Stegostoma tigrinum: one gene and its partners. The protein of the gene in region 3 interacts with the protein of the main gene of each other region in a pairwise test. Links are inferred from orthologs where the notes say so. Each region holds a gene or a part of one and is shown on either strand. Other genes may lie near its edges. The genes, in order: protein PALS2-like, protein PALS1-like, lin7a and mpp2b.

Region 1 (7,005 bases), on a different chromosome or scaffold from region 3:
CTCAACAGTTTTCCTAAAACTGACACATCCAGCTCAACAACATCAAGACGTTCAGATCACATCCTGTCATTCTAGAGGCACCAAAAAAATTTCAGGAGCAATTTTCTCCAAAATCAAGTTGATTTCACTGCTTTACATATCTGCATATCTAAATATGTTGTCATTTACAAGCTCCTAGTGATAATTTGAGCACAGTAGATATCAAACAATGAATTTTTTTCTTGTATCATTTAGCAAGTGACTTTTCAGCTTACAGGTCACTAGAAATCCAACAACGGAACTTTATTCTGATAAACAAAAATTGTGAAATGACAAAACGTGACTTCTAACTAACATAATGTGGTTGATTCTTTCACACCCAGTTAGGGATGGATAACAAATCAATGCCTAGTGAGTGACAACCACACATGTCCATTGGCTGTAACTTTAACACAAGTCAGTACTGTGTCGTTCTTAAAAAAAAAGCATCAATTTGCCACAAATGGGGATTCAACAACTCTGTATGATTTCAAAAGAAAATCAAATCTCAAATAATTTAACATGCAATTCTTTCAGTTTATTAATACCATTTTCTCCCTTGGACTTGATATTTGCAAAAAAGAACCCTAAACTGGTTTGGTAATATTTTATTTAGAAGCATTAAAGAATGTAGTGATACACAGTTCATTTTCATGCCCTACCCCTCTCAATCCTTAATCATTACTATGTCAAGTCAATAACTGCCAGGAAAAGGCTGTAGTGCTTTAAAATGTGCACATTGAGTTTTCTCCAATCAGGAATATCACTCTTGCACACTTTCAGCAGTTCACTAAAGAAAGTAATGGCAAAGATCTGAATACGGCCAATCTGCCTTTAATCAGACAAAGAGCTCAGAATGCAATCTATTATTACAACAAGTAAAGAATCACAGGTGCACCTCTTTCTAGCTCCATGCCATTCAAAAAGGGAGTGTTAAAAATTAAATGTCCTCACTGCTTCTGAGCCTGTCTGTTCTTACACTCAAGTTGGATGTTGTGTGTGCATTTGTCTTGTGCAGTTAAGTGGCACTCAATAGAACATACTTCCACTTTGTTATTGTTCTTTGACTCAAACTTGAATATCAAGATGTCAGACAAAAACCCAAAAATTGCAGAAGCCTAGTAGTATAGATGAGCCCAGATATAAAGAAAGTAGAGGCAGGTAAAAACAAAATTAGGAAAGAAAGAAAGAAAAGCCACAGAGAGAGTGGGAAGTAATAGTGTGACCCAAAATGATTTTATAAATAAAGAACAAGAATGTTAAAAGGAAAATATTAGAACAGAGGGGTCAAAAAGTAACCATTTCATTTGGTGGCACAGGTTTGGCAGCTGCTCATGCTATATCATTGTTTACAAAGCTCAGTTGGCTAGACAGCAGGTTTGCAATGCACAGTGATGCTGCTAACAGTTTCAATACCGGCACAGACTGAGGTTGCTATGATGGACTCTCCTTCTCAACCTCTGCCCTCACCTGAGGTGTAGTGACCCTCAGGTTAAACCACCACCAGTCACCTCTCTTGCTAAAGACAGAGCAGCCTCTGGCCTGGTAAGACTACAGCCTCTTTTTGTTTATAAAGAGAGAAAGTACATAATTGCATAGGCCAGTCAGCCAAGCTTAAGTGGTAAGAAAGTTACTACAAAAATGATGGACAATATTAGTCATCACTTTGAAGGTACAGATTAACCAACATCAGTTAAGCACTGATGCTAAGGTCAACCTGACAAATTTGATTGCTTTTTTTGAGTAAGTTAACAAGGAACGGTCATTAAGGTAGCTCATTTGATGTAGTCTACATCGATTTTGGACAGCTCTTGTTGCACAGCATTAGAGCCCCTAACAATGGACCAGCGGACCCAGGTTCCAGTTCTATCTATTCTACAGAAGTGTCAATAAGAGGTCAAAATACATGTTCAGACAAGGCCTTGGACATTTCCCCATTTACAGAGGAAAAAATGTTACAATGTTAAAAACAATCTTTTCAAACAACTTTGGTCCATAAAATTCAAACAGGGCAAGCCACAAGATAAAATAAGTTTAAGTGCAAGAGAGTGCTCTGGGATTGGACAGGTGGGAATATCTCGGTTTGAGGGAGTAATTTCACTTTTATGTAAATTTGATCACCAATATAACCTAATTAGCAAGTTCAAGTTCAAAATGCCTACTGCAAGGATTTTGCGAATTTTCTTCTCGACATTCTGTTGTGTACAACGGGGCAGGAACATCATTCAACACAATTACGAACAAAATAGTAACACTTCTTCCGAATTCGTGAAATATGTTTTTTTTCAATACACAGAAACCTCACCTCAACAGTAAAATTTGCAAAATGCCCTTCATCAGAAAGCAATTTTACTACATATGGTCACCTGGTAAAACAACCAAAGTGTGCTTGGATCATTTTTTGAATACATGACCAAATACTCGTGCTGCGAAATCAGAAATGCACACTAAATACATAGAAAGACAAGGCCTAAGCACTTCGTATGATATTATAGGAAGTATAAAAGCAGGCAACTCACAAATTAACATTAGCTTGGATTTTACACGTGTGTCCATTCCCAACCCTCACGGATGATGTTCAGAGATGCAGCGCAATCCATTTCCTCAATGAAGAAGCGCGCCTAAGAATTGCCGCACACACTCCCTCCACTACCCTAGTGACGGACGAGTATTGCTAACTGTGCACTGCACGTAACCGTGCAAGGCGATCACAAAAAGGTATAAAGCAATTAGAACACATTCGGCCGAATCACAATTCGGAGCAGCAGACATTACCCTGGAGGTGCGCTACTAACTTTCACAGTCAGTCAAACCACCTTACTTCACTTACCATTATTTACTTTGTGTAAAAATCCTCTTGTCAATACAGCAAAGAAAAATAAAAGCAACATTAAATGAAGGTGAGGGGGTGGTTGGTTCCACACAAGTGTAAAAAGCACAAACCTGTATCTGGCTACAAGCAGCTCCCCTTCTCGATCTCCCTCCCTCTCCTTCCACAGAGAGCGCGCGCGCACCAATACAACGCAGGAGCTGGGGGCCGAACGAATGAGACAATCGGCGCGTTCCAATGGGAGGCTCGCGCCTTCCACGAGCGGAACACGGCGGGCGGCAGAATTCCACTCGGAAGCCGAAACTTCGCTTTGACAGAAGATGGCGAGGAGGAGGAGGTGGACCAAAGGGTCACGTGCTGCCTCCCCCACCCCCCCCCCTCCTCCGCGCGGGATGGGAGGGGAGGTGAGGAACACAGGCCGCATGCGCCATGCAGGCGGCCCGGACAGCGAGTGATGGACGGTGTGTACGCGCGCGCTCCACTGGTGAACCTAGGCTTGGAGTCCGAGCCATGCCCATCCACTTCTCAGTGGAACGGCTTCTTGTTGTAGTGGAGCCTCGCTCGCAGGGTTTTCTTTCTGGGAACGGCTCGGGCTGATTTCAGAAATATCTGTGAAAAGAACGAAATAGACTACATGTTTCGGGTCTGCTCAGCTTTGATATAGCCACTTTTCTCGTATTTGGTTGGCTTCTCAATTTTTTTGCCTTTGCAGTCTAACTCTTGCATAACAACAAGAACAAAACTGATTTTCCAGAGGGTCACTCCTTAACCTGACTTCCAACTGATACCTTTTGGAAAACGAGCTGAATGGGGTTAATTCTTTGAAATTCTAAAGGAAAGGAAGCTGCCCCTTTTAGGCAGAACTTAATAGGGCATCTAGTAATGACCCAACCCCACGAAGGTTGCCATTGTACTGAAGCAATCTGCCCATTACTGTAATAGTGTGTTCCCTTTGAACTAATTTAGTTTAAAATGATCTTTGACAAAGTTACAGATTACGTCGGAATTGCTAGGCGAAGAAGAGGAATGTTTATCTGAAATAAAAGCAAAATACTGCAGAAGTTGAGAATCTGCAATAAAAATAAAATACTGAAACTACCCTCCTGGTCTGCAAGCCTACGAAACAATTAATGTTCTAAAACGCACAATTCTTCAGAAGTTAAGAGCTATGTCCGACTCAACATTAACTCTGGCTTCTTTTCCTGATACAGTCAGAACTTTTCAGCACTTTTTTTCTCATTCCAAGATTTACCTAATTGAGTTTCAAGAGTTTTAATAGTTGCATGATCAATAACATATTGTTTAGTCAAGTTGTTCAGTGATTATATTACACACTTCAGGAACAGATTGTACTTGAACTCAGGCTGCCTGGCTTAGAAATTGGGACACAATCGCTGTTTTACAAGTGCTCCATGATTAATAATAAATTTTGTTAACTTTATAGCAATACATTATAACCTATCCTAAATATTTGCCCTTTTGACTCATCCTTTCCACCAATCAAGTCCTCAAAAGGCATCCAACAGCATTTCCAATCATTTATTGCATTGCTTTCCCTTTAGAGTGGAAAGATCAAAGATAATTAGGTGCTCGTGAAGTCATCTGTTGTGGTAGGAATAACAACAAAGTGGACTATTAAATAAATGGTGAAAACTTTCACCTGGGTGTCCTTTTGCATGAATCACAAAAGGTTGATTTGCAGGTGTAGCAGGTAATGAAGGCAAATGAAATGTTTTCCTTCATTGCAAGGGGGATGGAGTTTAAAACAAAGATGTTATGCTGCAGCTGTATAGGATGCTGGAGAGACCGTGCCAGGAGTACTGTCTGCAGTTTTGGTCTCACTTGAGAAAGGATGTACTAGCAGTGCAGGGGTTGCAGAAGAGGTTTACTAGGTTGATTCCAGAATTGAGAGTGTTGGCTTATGAGGAAATAATGAGTAGACTGGGACTATGCTTATTGGAATTTAGAAGAATGAGGAGGGAATCTTACAGAAATGTTAAAAATATGAAGGAAATAGGTAAGATAGAAGTAGGGAGGATGTTTCCCCCGGTGAGTGAAACTGGAACCAGGGGACAAAGCCTCAAAATAAGGGGGAGCAGATTTAGGACTGAGTTGAGGAGAACTTCTTCACACAAATAGTTGTGAATCAGTGGAATTTCCTGCCCAGTGATGCAGTTGAGGCTACTTTGTTGAAGTGTTTTTAAGGGAAAAATAGATTTTTGAACAGTAAAGTAATTAAGGGTTATGGTGAGTGGGCAGGTTAATGGAACTGAATCCACAAACAGAACAGGAATGATCTTATTGAATGACAGAGAAGGCTCAATGGGCCAGATGGCCTACTCCCACTCCTATTTCTTATGTTCTCAGCTTCTCATCCACGTGAAATGCTTGAAAGGATGGCAAAAGAAATCAAGATAGCAAATTTAAATCTTTCCCCTGTTCTGAAGCAACATTATGAATGAAACAAAAGGAAACTCACCAAATTAAAGTATTGTTCCTGCTGTTGATTCTGAATTCCTGTGTCTTTTGTACTCAATGATCATAACAGGCTTCAAACATACACTGCATGATCATTCTTCATGGATATGGCCAAGGAAAAGATGGACTGTCAGGCTGATTGGCCCCTTGGACCTACGGCTGCTTGGACTTGTATCTATATCAATGTGACCATTGTATCAATGATCTGGAAATCTCTGCAAGAAGATCCTCTGTAATGCCTGTTTCACGTTACTCTGGATAGCCAAAAAACACTGAAATGCAGCCAGAATTTGAGTAGCAACGAGTTCAAATAATACACAGAACGCTATATCTTTCTAGGTTAATATCAAATGTGGACTCAGGCAGATCGTGACTGTTGCACGCAACCTCAGATTTTCGTTTCCAATTCCCAAAGAAATTAGAGGTACTCCTACATAGCGAATCATTTATTGGGATCCCAATGCCTGATAGATGACAAAATAGAATATTAGGTCAGTTTGGAGTGAATTACAGGGCACAAAAAAAACTTTTCAAAATGAATGGAATATTAGCCTTTAGTTTGAGAAGACTGGATTGCAAAAAGGGGAGAATTATAGCTGTTTAGAGCTCTGGCTGGACGTTGCCTGGAGAACTGTGTTCAGTTTTGGGTGTTGCATATCAGAAGCCTTGGAGGGGTTACAGTGTGGATTCACCAGAGTGATACCAGGGCTGAAAGGGTTACATTATGAGAACAGGTTGCAGAGCCTAAGCTTTTATTCCTCTGAATATCGAAGATTAAGGCCTGATCTAATTCGGATGTTTAAGATGATTAAAAGATTTGATAGTGTAGACAGAGAGAAATTATTTCCTCTGGTGGAAAGTTCAGAATAAATGGACATTGCCTTAAAAGTAGAGCTACATTATTTGTGGTAATGTCTGAAAGCTGATTTTCACACAAACAATAGTGAAATCTTGAATTCTGCTCTGAGAAGTTGTTGATGTTATCAGTTAATTGAAAAGCTTGGAACTAAAACAGATCAATTTTCATTCGTTAGGCAAAATTATTAAGAATTATGAAAATAAACGCAGACACGGATGAAATTGCAGATTTAAATTTAGAGTATATTGGAGATAGGATTTCTACTGAAAGATCACCATGAATACCATGTTAATAAATACTGTTTGAAGAAACATCTTGAGATTTGGCCAGAGATTATCAGATCAGACAAATCTATACTAAAATATGGTGACAGTAGTGGGGACATGAATTTTTTCTTTGAAGAATTACGAGGCAAGAGATTTGAGAAGAAAGCCTAAATATTTTAAATTCTTAAAATACTTGAAGTGTGATATACTGCAATGTGACAGCTGTGTTGCATCAGCTAAGCAGTCCCTGCACCTTGCAGTGCCCTTCATTGCTGTCAAATGACCAAAGCAAGTATATAGATGGGCGTTACAGAAGAAAAAGTTCCAAAGGTACAGAACAGACTCAAATCTCCATTCAAAGCAACAAAAGCTCCAGATCAGTACTTTCTTCTCTGTGGGAAGTCCCAAAGCAGATGATGTTGATCTTAGACAAAGTGTCAATGAATCCACAACAGATTTTAGGTCAGTCCAGTGGAGCCTTGTTATTGAACTATTTCAACCAGCCATCCCAAAATCCAAACAAATTGGCACACTATTAATGATTTTTATGGATT
Region 2 (6,926 bases), on a different chromosome or scaffold from region 3:
CATTAGTGGCCTCAAGTTACAAATTGGGATTGTAGAAGCTCCAATATCCTGTTCCACACATGGCTGACCCGGAATTTCTCCCTGATACTCACATTGTTTGGCCACATTGTGAACATGACTCCATTGACCACCTAGTCCTGAATGAGGGATAAACCCAGTGCTTCCAGCTCTGAGGCAGGATAACTAATCACTGCATCATTGACACCTCCCCACATGTTGCTATGGAATAAGAAGAATCAAATAATGCATCTTGTAAGATGTATTAAATACAACTATTTATATTCATTTTAAAGCAAGGAGAATTAAATGTTAGAACATAGAACATAACAGCACAGTACAGGCCCTTTGGCCCTCGATGTTGTGCCAACCTGTCATACCGATCTCAAACCCATCTAACCTACACTATTCCATGTACGTCCATATGCTTGTCCAAATGTTGTCAAATGTTTTCAGAACAATGAATGATGTTTAAATGGGCAAGGTGCTATTTCACAGTTTTATATCTGGAATAATCCTAGATTCAAGTTAGACTAGCTTCAGAACAAAATACTCTCCACACAAAGGCTTTGTATATTCCCAACACAAATGGAAGTTGCTGGAAAAACTCAGCAAGCCTGGCAGCATCTGTGAAGAGAAAATCAGAGTTAATGTTTTGGATCCAATCACCCTTCCTCAGAAGGTTCACCAGATTTGAAACATTAACTCTGATTTTCTCTTCACAGATGTTGCCAGACCTGCTGAGCTCTTCCAGCAACTTGTCCCTGATTTACAGCATCTGCAGTTCTTTTGGTTTTTATTTTGAATATTCCCAAATATTTATTAGGTTTGAAATAATAATAAATTAATTCTGTTTGAATTGATTTATTTCATTTTGAGTATCAATGAAGATCTGACCCATATTTTGGAAGCAGAAACTTTAGTAGTGAAAGAAAACTTCAGAGATGCCCAAAGTTTCAGATGAGGCAAACCAAATCCTCCAAAAACACTCAATTTTATATAAAAACAGAATAGTTATATTCTGTTATTATAGGCATGCTGGATAAAATAAACATTGTCTTCTTGTTTACAACAACAGGACTTTTATAAAAGCAAAAATACTGTAGTGCTGGAAAACAGATAAAAACAGAAAGTGCTGGAGAAACTTAGTGGGTCTGGCAGGATCTGTAGAGAGAGAAAGAGAGTTCATATTTTGAGTTCAGTTTGACTCTTCTTTAGACTTTTATTTGGTATTTGTGTTTCCCAGGTATTTTCCTGTGTGACTGTTTTTGGCATCCTGCTAAACTCAGTGAGAATTTGAGGTGAGGTGCATGAGAGCTGATGTGGGATGGGTGTGTCGGGATGGGGTTAAGGCATCACAACATATGCATCTAATTTAAAATTGCTTTTTAAAAGCCTCACATTTAATTCAGTGGTATTCCATGGGCTCTATTTTACTTCCTTAATTCATAATTTAGTGAGGAAATGGAGGATGGTTAGATGAAAATTAAACGTGTGATAACTTGAGCACAAGTATCGTAGGCTGGTGGTAATATAGTGTTTTTAATATAGCACGTTTACTCAATACATATTTTGAATATTAACATTATAATAGTTATAATAGCCTACGTTAAGAACAACTATCGATTTTAAATCTTTGCAATTTACAATTGTCTTACTTGATAAACATGCTAAATTTTGTCTGTGTCCTTGGTTGGTAAAAATTCGATTCGGAGAAGGGCAGATTTCCATAATCCGGGTAAAATGCGAATTATCTTTAGAAGTGGACTCTTTCTGAAGGGTCTAGGTCCGAAACGTCAACCTTCCTGCTCCTCTGATGCTGCTTGGCCAGCTGTGTTCATCCAGCTCTACACCTCGTTATCTTTTCACAAAACCAGTTGGGCAGGGAATTGTGGCGCTACGGCCCCTATCTCTGGGCCAGAATATGCCGCTTCGAGGGCCACCTGCTCCAGAACAGGTTGATTAAAGATATCTGTCAAACTGTTTATCGGGGAGCAGAAAACACGTAACTGCAAAGGAAGGGAGACTGCGCGGTGGAAAAGACAGTTGGACTCGCTTAAATTATTTTTTTTCTTATTCTTATGAATGGCGCTCTCAAGGTACCCACTTTTCACTGTAGTTTTACACCGAATACACGTGACAATAAATGATTCAATGATTCAAGACAAAACTTGTTACCCATCGTTCGAGACTGTGTGACAGACCTTGCACAAATCTTCGTCGCTAGTCTTAAATACAGTCCATCAAACCGGTGATAGCAGAGAACAGTTAAAGAAAGTAGGGTTATACCTTCAACTACACACACGGAAAATTGGATATTAGAATTTGGTCTTAATGCTTGTTATGCCCCCGAGATGCGTATAATTTTCACGTATCTTTGAAGATATCACGCTTACATGCATCTTCACAGGAACGGATTCTGTGTCCATGAAAAACGACAGGATAGTAACAACTTTTCACTCGCCAAGCGTGCGATCCACAATGTTTTTTTTTCTAAATCTCCAAAATCAGGGAGCTATTTAACAACCTAAGTCAACTTCGTCTATAAAATTTCACACGCCGATTCATAAACTCGCCAATAGCCTGTGCATTCTACAGCATTTTGGACTCGCTTTCATTTTTTAAAAGTTCGTCAAGGCCTACAATTAGCAGCGTCATTAGCTTATCGGAAGATGTAGCCAAACACTCAGAACCAGGGCGGGGGAAGTGGATTGTGACAAGTAATGTGGTTGGTAGGCACCAAACTGAAAACAGATGGGCGTGTATCACAACATTGCGCGATAGCGGGAGGGCAGCAAATCATTTACCCAAATCAGCTCATTGCACTAATTGCAGCAGAGTCTGGAAACTTGGCTGTATTTGAGGCAGATATTGATTCTGAGAATATTTTGTTGATACGAAACCTCCACCTCAGTTGTTTGCAATAATATTTGCCTTTGGTATTCAAGACACGGTGAAGTTATTTGTGGGAATGTTGGAATTAGTTTGTTCTCCCTGACGTCAACGCAAAATGTTGCGGATGCTGGAAATCTGAAATAAAAACAGAAAGTGTTCGAGTTCCCGAAGTAAACGGGACTCGAAACATTCACGTCCCTACAGCCAGATCCGAGTTTCTTCAGCATTTCATATCCTGAGTTTAGCCTTTCTGAGATAACAAGGTGTGGAGCTGCATGAATACAGCAGGCCAAGCAGCATGTTTAGCCTTTCTGATATGACTATCGACCAAGAGCAGCCCAAGCACTCTTGTCTTTCGCAGACGTCCCGCTGAAGTTGACCGTGTTCGGTATTAAGGTCGGGCATGGCATTTTTGTTCAGGCCTCAAACTGAGGCAACCTGTGATCTTTCCAGGGATACTTGGAATTGAGAATTGACACTAGTTTCTGTTTTTTTTCTTGCACCATGTAGCGATTCACCAGTGGAGGGGGATGGGGTGGAAATAAAGGAGTCGCCCGGCAAGACCGCGAAATAGTTTCAGAAAAGTGTTGAGAAGGCTGGCTCCAGTCCCAGGAAGGGATAAGCGGAGGTGCTGGGGTAGATCTGCTTTGCTTCAAGTCTGCAAGAAGACTGCGACAGTCAGGTGTTGTGATTTCCAAAGCTCCCTGAACTAACCCGATCCGATCGAGCCCCTCCTCCTCCTTTCTCCCCTCCGCCGCTGGGATCGCATTGCAAAATAAAACATTCCTGGCGCAGCTCGGGCTTTCACCTTTGTCTCCAGTGAGTGCGCGCGCGCGGCCGGGCTTAAGTTGGAGCAGGCATGCGCGCGCGCGGCCGGGCCTAAGTTGGAGCAGGCATGCGCGCGCATCCATTTCTCCCACACCCACCTCCACTTTCCCTTCACCCGAAACTCAACGAGCTTGTACCTCCCTCTTCCGAAGGGGGCGAGGTTGAGGAGCCCTCGCGAGCGACTGCGCGCACACGCACGGGTCGCGTCCTCAGCCAGGCACAGAGTCCGTTTATTTTTACTCCTCCCTACCCCCGCCCTCCCCCAAGAAAGAACGCACCGCTCGCGGCCGGAGGCAGTTGGAATCCTCCATTCGAGGTGAGGAGGTGTCGAACAAAACAAATCCAACAACCACCCCCGGCAAACACACAGAGTAAGGGGGCTCCGATCGTGAAGCTCCTTCGCTCACAGCCGAGTGTCTGATCTCAGACACCGGCATCAAGCCCGGCTCTCTTTCTCCGTCAACAGGTTAGTGGGTATCAACCGCCAGAAGGAGCTTTCGGCCGTTTTATTCACCCCCCGCCAAGGCGCAAGTTTGTATCGAGAGGAGCCTTTCACTTGGCTTGGGAGTCCGGCCTAGTTTGGGAAAGAGGTGAGAATCGGGTTGGCAAAGGAGAAGAAAAGGCAGGCGGCACGGGGTGGTGGAGGGAGGAAGAGTCGGGCTGGAAAAAAAGTTACTAGGAAATGTTTTTAGCATAAGGTCGAGTCCACGTAGCCTTCTCCCTCTGGTGCCGAAGGAACTCGTCTCAGAGGAAAGAAAAGGCAGGCTATTTTAGCTCTGTATTACTGGGTTTTGGGTGTGTTGGATTCTCCTTTATTTGTCACCGCCCGAGCCTTCGCATCTAATTTACATCCTCCCCGGCAAAGAAGGGAAACTAATTCCCATCTCTGGCCTCTAACCTTCTCAGTTAGGTCCAGCCGTCATGAAATTTTAACCAAGTCTTGTTTTCTAAACAAGTGTAGACAAAAACGAAGTTTGGCATTGTTGCGCGGTGGGATTGTTGGAATATCCTGGGTAGTTGCAGTTGTGGTGGAGATGGGCAGAGTGGTGCTTCTGGATGTTGTGCTGGTTCACAAGGTTAGACTGAAAATAATTCACAGCAGCGTCAATGCTGCATGATTTCGCCAGAATTAAAATGCAGTAATTCCACAAGAGATGTCCTTCCAGTTTAGAAACTCCAATTCAGCTTTCGGCAATTGGGTGCCCGGGGCGGGTGCTTTCGGTGTGAAGGTGGGTTGGGTGCGGAATAGAAACTTTGCTGGACGAGGGAAAAGAAGGGCAATTTAAAGTTAGTTGGATAGCTATAGTTTTAAACATTAAAATGAAACTCGGAAAGGACACCTCATGGACTAATTTACGATTCAAAATACCACTGATAACAAAGCCAAATGTGAAAAGCGTAACGATAAACTTAGAAACTAACAGGGACAAGGAGAAAATAAGCGTAAGTCAACGGTCTTTTATGACTATCATAAACAATGACAGGACGATCAAAGGCAGGATTTGGCGATTGAGGACCAGAAAGATCGACTTGAACTGGCAGAGAGCACGACTAAGGCAATTTACAAGTATTTGCATCTGTTTGTTAAAAATAAGAGACTGTGGTTTTAGAATCAAAATATATAAAAAGACGTATTTAAAAGCAAGCAGTTCTCGAAAAAAGAACAGCTACATCGTCCAGATGGGATGCCTGCCATATTATTGACCGAGGTACAGGTGGAAATTACAAACGCTGTAGTCGTAATCTCTCAATTTTGTATGCTGTGGGGCACTACCAAAGGATTTAACATGTTTAAAGTGGGATAAAGCAGCAATTATGGGCTAATTAGGTTAGCATCAAAAGAAGCTTTTAGCACCAATAATCTGGACAAAATTAAGTGATGTTTGGATCAATATTGAGTAATCATTTGAAGTCTGGATTTGTTAAAGCAGGTTATGTTTGACTTATTTGTCAAGTTCTTCACAGTAAAAGACTATTGTGATGATGAACATGATTGTGTGTGTTTTCAGAAATTCCTTGTTACTGAATTGATAGACCACGGGGTTTGGGGAAATCTGGCAACATGGATATAAAGTTTAAGTGAAGAAAGTAAACAGTAGTGGTTAATGGAGTAGTAACAAAGTTGGAAATACTCAGTGGATCCTGCAGCATCTTTATAAAGAGAAACTGTTAATGTTTCAGGTCAATGACTTTTCCTCATTAAAGATGAATGCTGTTTCAGGCTGGAGGGATGTACGCATTAGGATCACTGATCTTTTTGCTATTGATTAGCCTAGATTTGGTACAGCAGATATAATTTTAAAGTTTGTGTTGTACAGAGCTTGGAAATGTAGTAATTAATGAGGCGAGAAACAAGACTTCAAGGTGACTGAAGTGCACTAGCAAATGATTGATGACCTATAAATTAAGAGAAGTTTGAAATGATATGTTTTACAATCAATGATGACAGGCCAGATGAACTAAAATGTGCACATGTTAAAATTGGTATAGGAATGTATACAAATTGCTACAGGTCGTAGGATGAGATGCCAAGGCTTTATTTGATGGTGAGTTGTTGTGATCCAGAATGTTTTCTGAAGTGATAATAGAAACAGAATCGTAAATTTGAAAGTGAATTGAATAAACACTCAAAGGAAAATAATTACAAGACTGTGGGGTGTGACATTAACTGGACAGTTCTACCAAAGAGCCAGGCACTGACCTGATTCAGTCATTCTATAACTTATGGTCTGACAATGGATTTTGAGATTGAATGAAACTGGTACTTTTTTTCCCCCCTAAGTATATAACTTAGAGTTTGAATAAGAGAGATGCATCTTAGAATGAAATTTATTTTGAAACTCCTAAGTTTCTTCAAAGTTTAAGATGTAAGTTTATTTTTACTTTTCCATGTGATCTATTTTGTGCTATTTGTACTGACAATGCAGTTTTGTGTCTGCAGTTACAATACTACTGCTAGGAATTAGCTGTGTGAGTTGAGACAATGGTGATGAGCTGGCTTTGCAAAACAGAAGTTCATTATGGAATTTAAGGTGAAGTTGAACAGCAGCACTTAATTGGAGTTGTTGGATTCTTGGAACCATGTGCTATGGCTCATTCAGCTATTTGAATTACTATTTATTTCACTGTAACTATTGTAATAATACTGTGTTAGGTATGTGCTGATCCAGCACGTGAACTTAAGATCAAGTTTTCAGTTAGGGAAA
Region 3 (6,928 bases):
AATTGGCACAAGGCCAATATGATTAAGCAGGTGAATGTGTGGCTTAAAGATTGGTGTGGGAGAAATGGGTTTGAATTCATGGGACATTGCCACCAATACTAAAGAAGAAGGGACCTGTTCCGATGGGCCGGTCTTTACCCAAATTACGCTGGGACCAGAGTCCTAGTCAATTGCATAACTAGGGCTATTGACAGGGCTTTAAATTAAGCCGGGGGTGGGGGGGCGGGGAGCTCAGTTGTAGGGGAAATTAGAAAACACAAATTAAAGGAGGAGGTAAGAGTGCAGGTTAGCAATGTGGCGGATGGTTACCAGATAATAAAGGTATGGGACAGAATAGGTGATTGTCTTTATGCACCAAGAATTTATAAAAGATTAAGGAAATTTCACAGTAGAACAAATTTAAAAACTTTGTATCTAAATGCACAAAGCGTTTGAAACAAAATTAACGAGTTAATGGCACAAATAGAAGCAAAAGGGTACAATTTGGTTACAGTTACTGAGACATGGTTACAAGGAGACCAGGTCTAGGAATTCAGAGTACTCAACATTTCAGTGGGATAGGCTGAAAGGAAAAGGAGGTGGTGTAGCTTTGATGGTGAAGGAAGGATCAGAGCTATAATGAGAAATAACATAAGCACGGGACATCAAGATGTGGAATCAGTCTGCATTGAAATAAGAAATAGCAAAGGGAAGAACTACTTGGTAGGAGTAATCTATAGGACTCCAAACAATGTTTCAGCAGTGGGGCACAGTATAAATCAGGAAATATTAGAGGCTTGTAAGAAAGGTATGGCAATAATCATGGGTGATTTTAACATACACATAGATTGGAAGAATCAAATTGGCAAAGGTTGCATGGAGGCAGAGTTCATAGAATGTATTAGAGATTGTTTCTTTGAGCAGCATGTTGTGGAACTAACCAGGGAGCAGGCTACTCCATATTTGGTGTTGTGAATTGAGGAGAGATTAATTGATGATATGATAGTTAAGGATCCCCCTAGGGATTGGTGACCATAGTATGATCGAATTAAAAATTCAGTTTGGGGGTGAGAAAGTGCAGTCCCACATTGTAATTGAGCCCACATTCATCACTTCTTCTGGAAGTTCATTCCACATGTGAACCATCGTCCATGTAAAAAATTTACATCTCATGTCTTTTTTAAAGAGTGCAGGGAAGTGGAGTTGAAATGCCCATCAGCTATGATTTAAATGGCGGAGTGGACTTGATGGGCCGAGTGGCCTTACTTCCACTCCTAGGTTTTATGGTCTTATGGTCTTAAATCTCTCTCCTCTCACCTTAAAAATGTGTCCCCTAGTCTTGAAACCCCCCACCTTAGGGAAAAGACACCTACCATTACCTCTATCTAATTCAAGGAAGTGGCCTTGTGAAATATATATTAGGTGCAGAGGGATAAAGTGTGCATCTTGCCTGACAATTGGGTTTGTTCAGATGGAGAAAGACCAAAAGAAGAGCTATTTCACACTGTAATTCTTAGTTCAAAAAGAGGAGAGAAGCTGCTACCTGCAGTCTCAGGGAGTAGCTTCATCAACCTGTTTGCCCTCTACAACCAATGAATTGCTGTCTCCTGTCTGTGTGTTTTCCCTGACTAATTACATTATGGATAATGGGAACTGCAGATGCTGGAGATTCCAAGACAACAAAATGTGAGGCTGGATGAACACAGCAGGCCAAGCAGCATCCCAGGAGCACAAAAGCCGACGCTTCGGGCCCAGACCCTTCATGAAGGGTCTGGGCCCGAAGCGTCGGCTTTTGTGCTCCTGGGATGCTGCTTGGCCTGCTGTGTTCATCCAGCCTCACATTTTGTTGTCTTAATTACATTATGGATTTGATTTAACCCTTTGCTTAATCTTGATTAGCTTTTTAGGGTATTCTGTGAGTCCTAAACTCAACCTTAACATTCAGTAAGCTCATGGCTTTAACCATTAGTCTTGAAAATGGATGGGCAGATTGGAAAGAAGATTGAAAGAATTTAAGGAAGATTTAATGGGACAGATGGATATGAAATTATGTGATAATGCCATACTTTTATTCTTTATTCATTCACAGAACAAGGACAACACTGGTTAGGCAGCATTTATTGCCAACCCCTAATTGCCCAGGGGGCAGTTAAAAGTCAACCCTGTTGCTGTGAGTCTGGAGTCACATGTAGGCCAGGTAAGGATGGCAATTTCCTTCCCTAAAGGATGTTGGCAAACTAGATGGATTTTTCCCAACAACCAACAATGGATTCATGGTCTTCATTAGTTCTTAATTCCAGATATCTAGTGAATTTGAATTCCACTATCTACCATGATAGGATTTGGGCCCCCAAAACATTATCTGGGTCTTTGGATTAACACTCCAGTGATAATACCACTGGCCATTGCCTCCCCTTGATTTGATTGGTTACATTACATTACATTGGGCGATAAAATGTGGTTTGAATTTGCACTCCTGGACTTGAGTACAAAAATGTAGGCTGACATTCCAGTGAAGTCCCAGAAAGTTCTGCACTGTTGAACATGCCTCTCTCAGATTAGAGATTAAACAAGCCCTTTCCCAGTTGGAAATCAAATATCTTAACAATGGCATTATTTTGTGGAGCAAGGAGTTATCCATGGTGTTCAGGCCAATGTCTGTTCCTTAGTGACCATCACAAAGGTAAGTTACCTGGTTGTTATCACAATGTACACTGTAAACCCTGACAAACAGAAATCTGCTGTTTCCAATCAGCAATTACAGTTCAGAAGTATTTCATTCACAGCAAATCACTTTGGGATGTTCAGCGGTCATGAAAGGTGGTGTATAAATGGCAAACTTTAAACATAAGTCAATACATGAGTTTATTTATGACAGAGACGGATAGGTTTGTGATCAGCAAGGGAATCAACAATTACAGGGAGCAGGCAGGAGAATAGTGCTGAGAGACATACTGGCCATGATTGAAATAAAAACCGAAAGAACTGTAGATGCTGTAAATCAGGATCAAAAACAAAGTTGCTGGAAAAGCTCAGTAGGTCTGGCAGCATCTGTGAAGGAAAACGCAGAGTTAAAGTTTCAGGTTCGGTGACCATTCCTCAGAACCTCCCACCAGAGAAGGGTCACCGGACCAGAAGCATTAACTCTTTTTTTTTCTTCACAGATGCTGCCAGACCTGCTGAGCTTTTCCAGCAACTTTGTTTTTGATGGCCATGATTGAAAGATCTTCCCCTATATTTTATAAAACTAAGTTTAGATAAGTTCGATTCTGCCCACTAAAGTGCCTAAGCAATTTGCACTGCAGCTTTAAACAACTATGTGGCAGACCTACCAATTTGTTGCCAAGACGCAATATTATTAAATAATAATCCTTAAAATCAGTGCTGATGTTGCCTTGGAGAACTGCATTAACCAATTGAATAAGGATCTTCGTTGGCCTAGGGGAATGGTATCTGCGTTCTTCAGCGTTGAGTGGACATCTCATGCTTAAAGCCCTCATCTCTAAGAAAGTAGTCATTCCTTTTTTCCCCTACTAGACGTTTTGTTTTATTAAGACATTTGCCTTTATTTATTGCAGATGAAGGGGAGACCTTTTGGTAAATTCACTAAATTTAATATCTGGAAATTAGTATTTCAGATACTTTAGTTCTTCAGTCTCTCAATTCTGCCACAAACTTCAAATTTTGAACTGATTTGAATATCTGAACTTGAGGACAGTAAAGACGGCAGATGCTGGAAGCAAGCGTCAGTAAATGTGGAGCTGAGAAAGCTCAGTAGTCAGACAGCATCCGAAGAGCGGGAAAGGCAACATTTCGGACCGAACTTTCCTGCTCCTCGGATGCTGTCCGGCCAGCTGTGCTTTTCGTTGAACATCTGAACTTGTCTCTGCTGCTGCAAATTTCTAATCTTCCGGGTAATGTTGAAGTGGTAATGGCTGATACTGAACAGCGCGTCTCAGGTCTTTCGCACTTCCATTGCTACTTAGTAATGGTACGTGCCTCGTACAATCCAGCCTGAGTGAGGTGCATTGGAGGTTGGATGTGTGTGTGTGGCTGATGAACGCTGTTTGTCTCTCTCTCTCTCTCTGTGCCCCTCGTGGCTGCAGTGTGAGCCGCATCATTCCAGCCAGTGCTCCCTTTCTCACACTGCCTGCCATCTCACGCCTCCTTTTCTGAAGCTGTTGCAGACATGGCGACAACATTGCAGCCGCTTACGCTGGAAAGAGGTAAGGGAACAGTCGTAATTTATCTGCACAATCCTCCCGAGTGTTTCCTCAATCTGTGACAAAATAAAATTGTAGTTTGGAAGGCTTTTGTGGCTTGAAGTGTGATTGGTCTTTACTTTTGAGTATTTATGTTCCCTGTAGCGTTGATGGACCACAGTGACGGTTTGGAGACAGATTTACTGATGCTGGGGAGCAATTTTTTTTTCCACTGAATGTGTTAAACGCGCAGAAGCCACTGATAGATTACATTTAGCAAGACATTTTCTTTTAACGGCAATTTCCGTTTGCTGTCTGCAAGACTTGAAAAGAAACAGATCAAAGGGAATATATTCTTCGCCCTTCTCCTCTCCTCCCTCCGGACTTGAAGAGATTGCGGCTGATGGAGGACGAAGTCGTCTTTAGGAAATTATCTTGCAGTCGGTTTGTTTGATAACTGGACCGACAGTGAAAATCAGAGGGCTGGGAGGCATCGGCTTTCTCTCTAAATGCGCCCTAGACAGTTCTGTTGCGAAATCATATCCCTGCCACGTTCAGTTGTTAAAATCAAGGTTTTAATATTTAAGCTGCGATTAAATATTTCGCGGAGCTGCTTGTTATATGTAACACTTTCTGTTGCGTGTAAGGAGGAGTGTGTAGTTGCAAGGGTCGGCTGCGTGTATCAACGAGATGGATTAGGGCATATTTGAAATAGCAATTCAGGAACGAGAACAAATAACCATCAGACTTTAATTAGAGATGAAATGAAAAGAGTTCATCTGATTTGCACGCTCTTTGAAGTTGCTATTTTAGATTAGTCTCAAACTGAGAGCCCTGGCGCTCATAACTAGTTACAACTAACAGTAATGACTTGTTCATGTAACACTTCACGTTAATACAATTTTGCACTACAACAGGAACATTGTGAAGTAAAAGTTTCAAGTGGATCCACCGATGTTTGTTTCTTTTCATAGACATTAGATTAAATGACCAAAAGTTTCCTCAAAAGGTAGATTTTAAGGAAGGACCTGATGCAGTTGGAGACTTGTGGACAAGGAATTCCAGCTTTTGGTACCTCAGCAACTCAAGGCAGACATCAATGGTGGAGCATTTAAATTTGGCAAAGCTTGAAGAGGCCAGAATTAGTGAAATGTGGATATGTTGGACCATTATGGGACTCAAGGAAATCAAAGTGGGAGGGAGGGATTATGACATGAAATAATTTAGAAACAAGGGGAAAACAATAATTTCAAGGTGCCAGTTAGCCAAGAGCCGGTGCAAGTCACCAAGGACAGTTTTTGGACAAATGGTACTTGGTGCAACTAAGAATGTGGGCAGAAGATATTTTGATAGAATCAAGTTTAGAGGGTAGAACGTAGGAAGCCAGTCAAGAGTACAATAGAGTAGTGAAGACTAGGTGTGACAAACACACAAGGGATATGGGCAAATGCTAGCAGATGGCATTAGGTTAATTTAGAATATCTGGTCAGCATGGAGGAGTTGAAATGAGGGATCTGTTCTCATGACTTACATATCTATGACTCTACAAATGATGGCCTCAACAGCAGAGAAGGGGCAGTATGTTCAGAATCCAATGATTTTACTGAGGTGGAAATAGGCAGTTATAGTGATGTGAAGCCCCTAAGTGCCAAACATGCAGTTGTTAAAGTTGAGTTTGGGCAATCGGGAGGAAGAAGAATGAGGATGACAAAGGAGCAGAATTTTTGGTGGAGACATAATTGATTCAGTTTTGTAAGTACTTAATGGGAGGAAATTTTTCCTCATCCATTTCTGGATGTCATTCAAGCAGTCTATTAGTGACGAGAAAATGCAACAATTGAGCAAGTTGATAAAGTCACAGGAGGTATGTGGAAACTGGCAATGCTTTTGTGTAATGTTGCCAAAAGACAGGATATAGAGATGAAACAAGGGCCAAAGATTGATCTTGGGATGCCTAACATCCTGGAGCTCAAAGACAAGCCATTGTAAATGATTCTCTGTCAATAACTAGACAGATAGGAATGAAAGCAGTTGAGTGCAGACCCAACCATCTTGATGACTTTAGAGAGGCATTGGAAAGGATTTGTAGTCAACTATGCCTGAGTTTGCAGAGAAGTGGAGAAGAATGAGGGATATTTTACTTTTGTCTCAGACCTGCATGATGATATTTGTGACTTTGATAGGAGTAATATTGGCACACTGCTGGGAAGAATTGATTTGAGGAATTTAAACATGAAGTTCTGGAAGAGATGTGCACATTTGGGAGATGAACTAAAAGAAAGAGAATCATTTAACAATGTCAGCTAACATGAGTAAAGAATTTGAGATGGGTTACAATTTACTGGAAGTAGGGTTGAGGGAAGAAGAGCTTCATGTGAGTAAGTGGAGGAGAAGCAAATTGATAAGAAACTAAAAACAGATTCAAATTTGGGAGGGGGACATTTGACGGAGTTTCGTCAGATGGGCTGGGGAAGGATTGGCAGTAGCAGATTAACTTAATTTCAGTGACAAGGAAGTCCGCAAATTCCACATACACATGGGTAAGACTGGAAGAAATAGGGCTTTCACAAGTTTGTTTGTGGAAGAACAAAGAAGTTGTGGTTTATCTTTGCACTCTGCAATAGATGATGGTGGTTTATATGGCCCAGCCAGATCTGGCAGTGAATGAATGTAATGAGAGAAAACCTTTTGCGCACAATGAGTGGGTCAGGACTGGAATACACTGCCTGGAATTGTGGTGAAAACAG
Region 4 (7,496 bases), on a different chromosome or scaffold from region 3:
CTGGACAAGGTGGATAATATGATAGTATTCCTGATGGCAGAAGGCTCAAGACCCAAAAGACACTGAATAAAAATGTTAGGTGTAAAAGCAACAATGGCATGAGGAAGATCCTGTTTACACTGAGTACTTAGGAACAAGATGCTCCTGAGATGCTGCTTGGCCTGCTGTGTTCATCCAGCTTCACACTTTGTTATCTTGGATTCTCCAGCATCTGCAGTTCCCATTATCACTGCCTGAAACTATGTTGGAAGCAGGTTCATTTGAGACTTTCAAATTATCTTTTCTAATTATCTGAAGGTAAGAAATTTGAGGGCTATGTGGAGGGTGGAGGATGGAAATAGTAGGAGAGTGGGACTATATGAGTTACTGTTGCAGAGGACTAATATAGGCATGAGAGGACTGAATGTCCTCTTACTGTTTTGTGACTAAATGCCATTATTTTAAAAAAACAAAACCCATAGAAGACCAAGTAGAGAATAAGAACAAATGTGAAAACACCAATAATCTACAAATCATGTTTGCAGATAGCTTGAGGATACATTTGCTGGGTAGAGGTGGGCTTTCTGATGCAATGGAAAATAATTTGTTGAGTTGCTATATTTTAGTTGTTGTGGATAAAATAAATTAATAGAATGTGAAATAGATAAAGTGTAGAAAATAAAATGAATATAACTGAGAAAACTAAGGCATATGTTACATTTTTTTGTAGTATGGCTTAAAAGGGCAATGTAAGTTAAAATAAATAGCAGTCAATATGCATAAATTGGAATTTGCATATATAGTGTATGTAGAATTTTTATAAAGCAAATATTTTCCTCTATATGAATCTTTGTATGAGCTATTTTCTAGATGGATGTAATGACATTTTATCATTTTATATTTGTGGCCATCAGTTGCTTTTGGTTGAAAAGCTGCTCTGTATTTGTGCAAGTACGGAGGTGGGAAATTATTTATGTGGGTTTCTTTTTAATGGGAATAAGCTGTGTTGGAGTTGGATGCATGAGAGCCAGTGAGAGAAGATGGGCAATTGAAGGTTGAAAAACCAGAGGTAAAGACATTAGGGAAGGAATGAATGGAAAGAATAGGCTTTCACAGAGGGTAATGGTGGCAGTGAGTGGTTGAACTTTGGATGGGTAGAGATGAAACATAGGGGGAAAAATAACTAGTGAAAGGAAAGTTGCAGGTTTACAGCACAGAATGTGATGACTTTGCCTGTTATGTGCATGCCAACCAAAAATGTAAATAAAAACTGAAAGAGCGACAGATGCTGTAAATCAGAAACAAAAACAGAAGTTGCTGGACCAGCGCGGCAGGTCTGGCAGCATCTGTGAAGAGAAATCGGAGTTAATGTTTCGGGCCCAGTGCCCTTTCCTCAGAACTGATGGTAGCTAGGAAAGTGACAGTTTATATGCAGAATATAGAGTTGGGGGAGGTTTTCAGGAGTGATAGTTGGGGTTAGAGCCCAAAGAGAGAGAACAACAGTTGGACAGACAAAGGACTGCATAACAATCTGCCTGGGAGGGTGAATAGCTGTTAATGGAGGCATTTAGGGTAGCAATAGGTAGTGTGTAATGGCAGGCTATAAGATAAGAAGGCCTGCCGCAAAGACCGTTCCCTTTGGGACACCCTAGTCCACTCTTCCTTCACTCCCAACATCCTACCCCCCACCCGCCACCACCCACAGCCCCACGGTACCTTCCCCTGCAACTGGCTAAGGTGTAACACCTGCCCATTTGCCTCCTCCCTCCCCAGTATCCACAGGCCCAAACATACCTTTCAGGTGAAGCAGTGCTTTACCTGTACTTCTCACAATCTAGTCGACTGCATTCGCTGCTTACAATGTGATCTCCTCTACACTGGGAAAACAAAAAGCAGACTGGGTGACCACTTCACAGACCATCAATGTTCTGCCCGCCAAAAATATCCTGAGCTTCCAGTTTTCTGCCACTTTAACATACCATCCTGTTTTCTGGCCAACATCTCTATCTCAGGCTTACTGTAGTGTTCCAGTGAAGCTCAGCGCAAGCTGGAAGAGCAGCAGCTCATTTTCTATTTGAGGACCCTGCAGCCCTCCAGACTCAATATCAAGCTCAATAATCTTAGGGCCTAAACTATCCCATGTCCTAGCCCCTCACCCCATACACCAGGCCTTGTTATCACATCATCTGCCATTACATATATCTATTCTTACCCACTAACTGTCCCCTTCGCAAGCTGTTCTCCTTTAGGTTGGTATCCACCTAAGCCCACATTCCAGCTTATGCTCCATTGCCTTGTGACTTTTGGCACTTCAAATACATGTCAAAGTGCTTTAAAAAAGAATGTCCTTCCCGTAGATTGGCAATGGACAGTGAGTGGTATCCATGGCATTAAGTTCCAGACCTGAAGCATCCTCTGAAAAGAATCCCTCTCAAATTCTTCCATAGCTCTTAGTATTTACCTTCAAACTATGCCCTTAGTTCTGAAACACTCAACCAAGGAAAACATCGACCTGTTTTATCCCATAATTTTGTGAGTCCTCACATAACTTTATACATGATTAGGTCTCCCCTCAGGCTCCAGTTTCAAAGAAAACAATACGAGCCTATCCAATAGTTCCTTGGAGCAAAAACCCTCCAGTTCAAGAAACAGTCTATAATTCTCATCCAAACCCTACCTGATGCAAACCCATCTTCCCTATAGTGCAATGACCAAAATGTAAGAAAGAAAATAATGATATTTACACACTGGAAAATTAAGTCCTAAGGTCTAGGAGAATGGAAGAATCCTTTTAGTTGTGCGGGAACCCATTAAGCACATAGGGATTGTTTCTAAGGCATGGAAGGATTATGTACAGGCATCATATAACATGTTAGTGTGAGGTGACATCCTGATATCTGGATGGTGGTGATGGAAGGAGATTATTAATGTGGCAGTGATTGGAAGATGGCGTAAAGATATTGGGAATGGAGGGATCCAGGAATGATAGAGTGTTTTGATGATTTTAAAGCAACTGAGGGTCACAATTCTGGGAAATTTGGAATATATATTTAATAAAGTCAAGGTTTATAGGGCAGTATTGTAGTTCCCAATTTTTACAATTGGTGAGAAGGAAGCTGAGAGATTGAGAGTACAAGGAGAAACATGCTAATGTCCAGGTACATTGAGATGTTAGTTTCACTGTCTGGGAATAATGGGAGGTATTTCTCAGGGAGAGGTTGGTAAGGGAAAGCAGTGCAGGAGGATTAAGAAAGCAGGTTTTAAGGTTCTGGAAGACAGTAGAGAAGAAACTTGAGGTGTAGGAGTGTTGGACAGCTTAAAGGTACCTACATTGAAGAGGCTGTGATGAGACAGTATGAAGACAGTGTGAATGTATTGAAGAAGTGGCCCAGGCGAATGTGAGTCAAACCTCTTAAAGGGCCATTAGCTGTTGTGGTACTGTTGAACCCAATGGGACACAGTGTCATACATAGATCCTAATATATGTCACATTTGTGTCCCATCAGTGAGCTGCTTGTTTGAGATTTGCACAAATGACAAAACAAGTACTTTCTCTATTTGTCATAAAATGTTTCAAACAGAATAGCTGCTGTCCTCCCCAATATTTTACAAAGTTAATTGTTAATCATCATGAAGTTCTGAGAATGACAGGAGGTCAATAATGTACATCTAATTATCATTTGGGCCCCAAGCAAAGGCAGGACCATGAGGATTTTCCTCATTAACCTCATACCAGAGATTATATTTAGACATACTTTTTGCAATTTTGAGATTTATTTCTCTCCAAATGTTTTGCCTTTTATAATATTTTGCATCATCATATTTCTTGAAGTCTTTTTACTTTGTTAAGCCACTAAAGGTATTTATCCCACAGACCATCAAAAAATTTCTTCTCATGTGGTTTTTAATCAATGAGGGGAATAGTCAATTAATTTCTGCCATACCAATAACAAGCAGGAAAATCTGATGCCCTTTTCCATTAAGCTGTTTGGGATATCAGGAACATGGTGAAATTGAGAGGGAGGGAGAAATTTAATGATCTGAACCGATTACTAGCTGAAACTGATAGAAGGGGAGAAAAAGTAGGAAAGGATAAACAGCCAACCTTTTCATGGGAAGGAACAAAAACAACTTTTCTAGCTGCCTAAAAGTGACTAAGAAGTTACATTTCATTCATGGATAAATAATGACGTGGCTTTAGTCCAAGAAGCTTTTGGGCTTTAACTTGTACTATCTCAGGTTGAAAGAAGTCAACATTGTGGTGTTCAGGCCCTGTCAGAGCTCATGTGCAGGAATTAAAATAAAATACATATGATTGGTACTCTAAGGGTTACTTAAGTTACTGAAGAAAGAACACAATTCATAGTCTATCAAATTACTCTGGGTGGCATGCTGCAGGGAAGGAACCTGTGTAACAAGTATACAATAGAAGCGAAAGTGGTTTGTCTCAACTGCATCAACTATCAGCATTGCTTCCCATTTGTGGAATTGGGTCAGTTAGAGTTTGTGTGTGTGTACAAAGGCAGGGTTTGGAGTACGGACCTGGTCAGAAACCACCGACGGGGACCTTAAGCACGGCAAGCTGTTTGCTCATTCAAACGTAAAACGTATCGGACTCTCCTCTCATTGATGAACTCTGCAAGAGCTGGTTAGCATGTAGTGTGCTTGACGTGCTAAAGTAGAAAAGGGGCCAGGGTTCCTGTGTAGGCAGCAGAGGCACAAAAGCATTGTACAGCTTAATTAAAGCCCAGCATGGATAATAGTCAGTCACACACAACCTCATTAGAAGTGGATTCTTCAGCATCATTTGAAACAAACAGGTCAAACCAGAGTGACGGAGGTAAGATTTGTCTAAGAAATGAGTGATTTAGATCACAATTATGATTAGACTTTTTGCTGTAATGACAATGTAGTTTTTGTTTGCAAATATGTGGTATCAGTAAGGCTCATACATTACTTTCAATGTGCAGCACTCATTTAATTCTTCAGCGTGTTATGTAAAACAATAAAGCAGAAATGGAAGCTTTGTTCTGAGTGTCTATGCATATTTTGTTGGATTTACTTGAACAATTATCCCTCGGTTTTTTTCTACACTTTGCTATTTATTGCTGATTTTTAGATGATAAACAGAGCAGTATTAGTACAGGAAAAGCAAAGAATACTTGGAAAAATACTGTTTGAGATAATTCTGTTTAATTACAGAATCTGTTATCATATGTGGGTACGGGGATAGGCTGATGCTAACTTGTCATGACATTATTACAAAGAATTGAGAGTGTAAAATATTTTACCTTTTAATGTTCATGTCATCGCAGAAAGCTTTGGAGGAGCCAAGTGACACATATCCCATGAGTGAACAGAGACTGAATTTCAATCAGTTTGCTGCTATCTGAGCATTAATTAAATATGAACTAACTGTTTGAGTTACCCTTTCTGAGACCAAAATCATTTCTAGGTGCAGCTTGTTGATTTTATTTTTCTGTAACATGTTTTGCAGAATTACAGCATTGAGTGCAAATTCATTTGTTCTGTAATCTGGAAATTGCTATCTTTAAAAGCTAGTTAGACCATTTGCAACCATCTTTAGCCAGAAATGCTGAATGGATGATCCATCTCTGCCACCTCTTGATGCCCTCAGCATCACAGAAACCTGACTTCAACCAAACTGATTCCATTCACCTATTATCAAGAAACTACTGAACCCACTGAATTCTGCGAAGGCTACGTATGGGCCCTAACAGCTACACAGCTGAGCTGTTGAGGGTGTGTACCAGAGAATGAGCCAAGTCTGTAGTCTGTAGGTTGTTCCAGTACTGCCACCCACAAAATGAATATTACCAACATTCCCATGGGGACAAGAAGTCTGACAAAGCCAATCCAATTAATTACTACCCCATCAGAGTTAATAGGGTGAAACTGTCCCTGCTTGCAACAGGATCGAGAACCAGAGGGCACAGCTTTATTGTTTCCAATTTTACAACAGCCTTTCAGAAACACCCTCAGTTAAGTGCTATGTCACATTTGGCATTCAGTTCATTTGACCAAGCCCAAGATCTAGGGTCAGTGGTCCTAGGTGGCTTCAAACCAAGCAACAGTGATCACCAATTCTTGGTGAATTTGTGTCAGTTCGAAGTCACATGACATGAGGTTATAGCCCAACAGGTTTATTTGAAATTACAAGCTTTCGGAGCATTGCTCCTTCATCAGGTGAAATGGAGGAAGTGCACAGGCACAGAATATATAGGCAGAGAGATAGTGGCAAGATAATTCCAGGTAATTAAGAGTGTCAACAGATAGGCACAAATTGTGTGAGTAGTGTGTCAACAGACTGAATAGCAAGTCTTTGCAGGTGCACCATGTTATTCTGTGTTTATAAAAATCTTCCTTACTGTTCTGTTTTGACACCACCATCTTGATAACTTATTATTATCTCTCTACCTTAATTAGTTTGTACAGTTTTGGCTTACTTGTTACTTTGATTAGACCCTCGTCATGCAACTCTGATAGCCATCATGTTATTCCAGCCATTTGATCTGTCTCTAGCACCATCTTATTTTTGATATTTTGTAGTTATCTCTCTGCCTTAATTAATCACTTCATAGGTGATCCCTTCACTTACTATTCAGCTGTGTATTTGTGTCATTTTGACACTTTTGATCCCCTGCAAAGACTTGTTGTTCAGCCTGTTGACACTCCACTCACACTACTTGTACCTATCTGTTGATACACTTAAATACCTGGAATTATTTGTCATTATCTCTCTGCCTATATGTTTTTTACCTGCGCACTTCCTTCTACTTCACCTGATGAGGAGCAGCGCTCCAAAAGCTTACGATTTCACATAAACCTGTTGGATTATAACCTGATGTCATATGACTTCTAACTTTGTCCACCGCAGTCCAGGATATATGAGGAGCCTCGCAGTGAGTGGAGTCCAGAATTGGCATGGTGAGGGTAGAGAAGGCAAGTGGCTGGGTGCATGGGATGTAGGGGTGCAGGGGTTCAAGGCTAGATGGCCTAAAATCTCCCTCACCTCTTCAGGTCCTACTAGCATCTGTTTCCAGGATTAGGAAGCTTACTTTCATTCCATACGCACCACCTCCATTCCCAAAAGTCTTGAACTTCCAGACCATTTTTACCAAGACAAGTTGGTAACTGCCTGCCTCTCCAACCAAAATCCAATGCTATGTTATGTAAACAGATCAATTTACATTTGGAGCTCCTTTGAGAAGGCTTTGTGTTGTCAGATATAAAGATCAAAATGAGCAAACTCTGTTCAACTGGCAAGCTCTCAAGTTTGGAGGAGCTGAGAGCTATTTCATGATCTTCCAGTTGGATGAATTTAAGTGAATCATCAAAGGAAAGACAACTTGCCTTTTCACAAAGTTTATACTGAGCCAGGTTTGCAAGGTTTCTATGGACTATAAGCAAGTACTTACTGATTCTGAACGTAGCAATAAGTGTTACTCTGATCACTGAGATATAGCATGATAAATTATTTTCCAGCATGCTTACAA

What was found.
Region 1: the proteins of lin7a (region 3) and protein PALS2-like interact in binary tests that used the Homo sapiens proteins (3 or more experiments, as listed by UniProt). The link is inferred for Stegostoma tigrinum from reciprocal best matches to the Homo sapiens genes LIN7A and PALS2.
Region 2: the proteins of lin7a (region 3) and protein PALS1-like interact in binary tests that used the Homo sapiens proteins (3 or more experiments, as listed by UniProt). The two-hybrid records come from large-scale screens. The link is inferred for Stegostoma tigrinum from reciprocal best matches to the Homo sapiens genes LIN7A and PALS1.
Region 4: the proteins of lin7a (region 3) and mpp2b interact in binary tests that used the Homo sapiens proteins (3 or more experiments, as listed by UniProt). The two-hybrid records come from large-scale screens. The link is inferred for Stegostoma tigrinum from reciprocal best matches to the Homo sapiens genes LIN7A and MPP2.

Annotation. Positions count from the first base shown.
Region 1 is NC_081355.1:77,026,189-77,033,193, reverse strand, and holds the start of protein PALS2-like, read right to left. Parts: upstream 3,010-7,005; 5' UTR 2,962-3,009; intron 2,870-2,961; exon of another isoform or gene 2,849-2,869; intron 2,650-2,848; exon of another isoform or gene 2,538-2,649; intron 1-2,537.
Region 2 is NC_081363.1:69,480,047-69,486,972, reverse strand, and holds the start of protein PALS1-like, read left to right. Parts: upstream 1-3,910; 5' UTR 3,911-4,186; exon of another isoform or gene 4,187-4,310; intron 4,311-6,926. UniProt on the Homo sapiens protein: Plays a role in tight junction biogenesis and in the establishment of cell polarity in epithelial cells.
Region 3 is NC_081371.1:40,158,673-40,165,600, reverse strand, and holds the start of lin7a (protein lin-7 homolog A), read left to right. Parts: upstream 1-3,919; 5' UTR 3,920-4,168; coding exon 4,169-4,205; intron 4,206-6,928. UniProt on the Homo sapiens protein: Plays a role in establishing and maintaining the asymmetric distribution of channels and receptors at the plasma membrane of polarized cells.
Region 4 is NC_081384.1:19,032,698-19,040,193, reverse strand, and holds the start of mpp2b (MAGUK p55 subfamily member 2b), read left to right. Parts: upstream 1-4,496; 5' UTR 4,497-4,731; coding exon 4,732-4,819; intron 4,820-7,496. UniProt on the Homo sapiens protein: Postsynaptic MAGUK scaffold protein that links CADM1 cell adhesion molecules to core components of the postsynaptic density. In CA1 pyramidal neurons, required for synaptic KCNN2-containing channel function and long-term potentiation expression.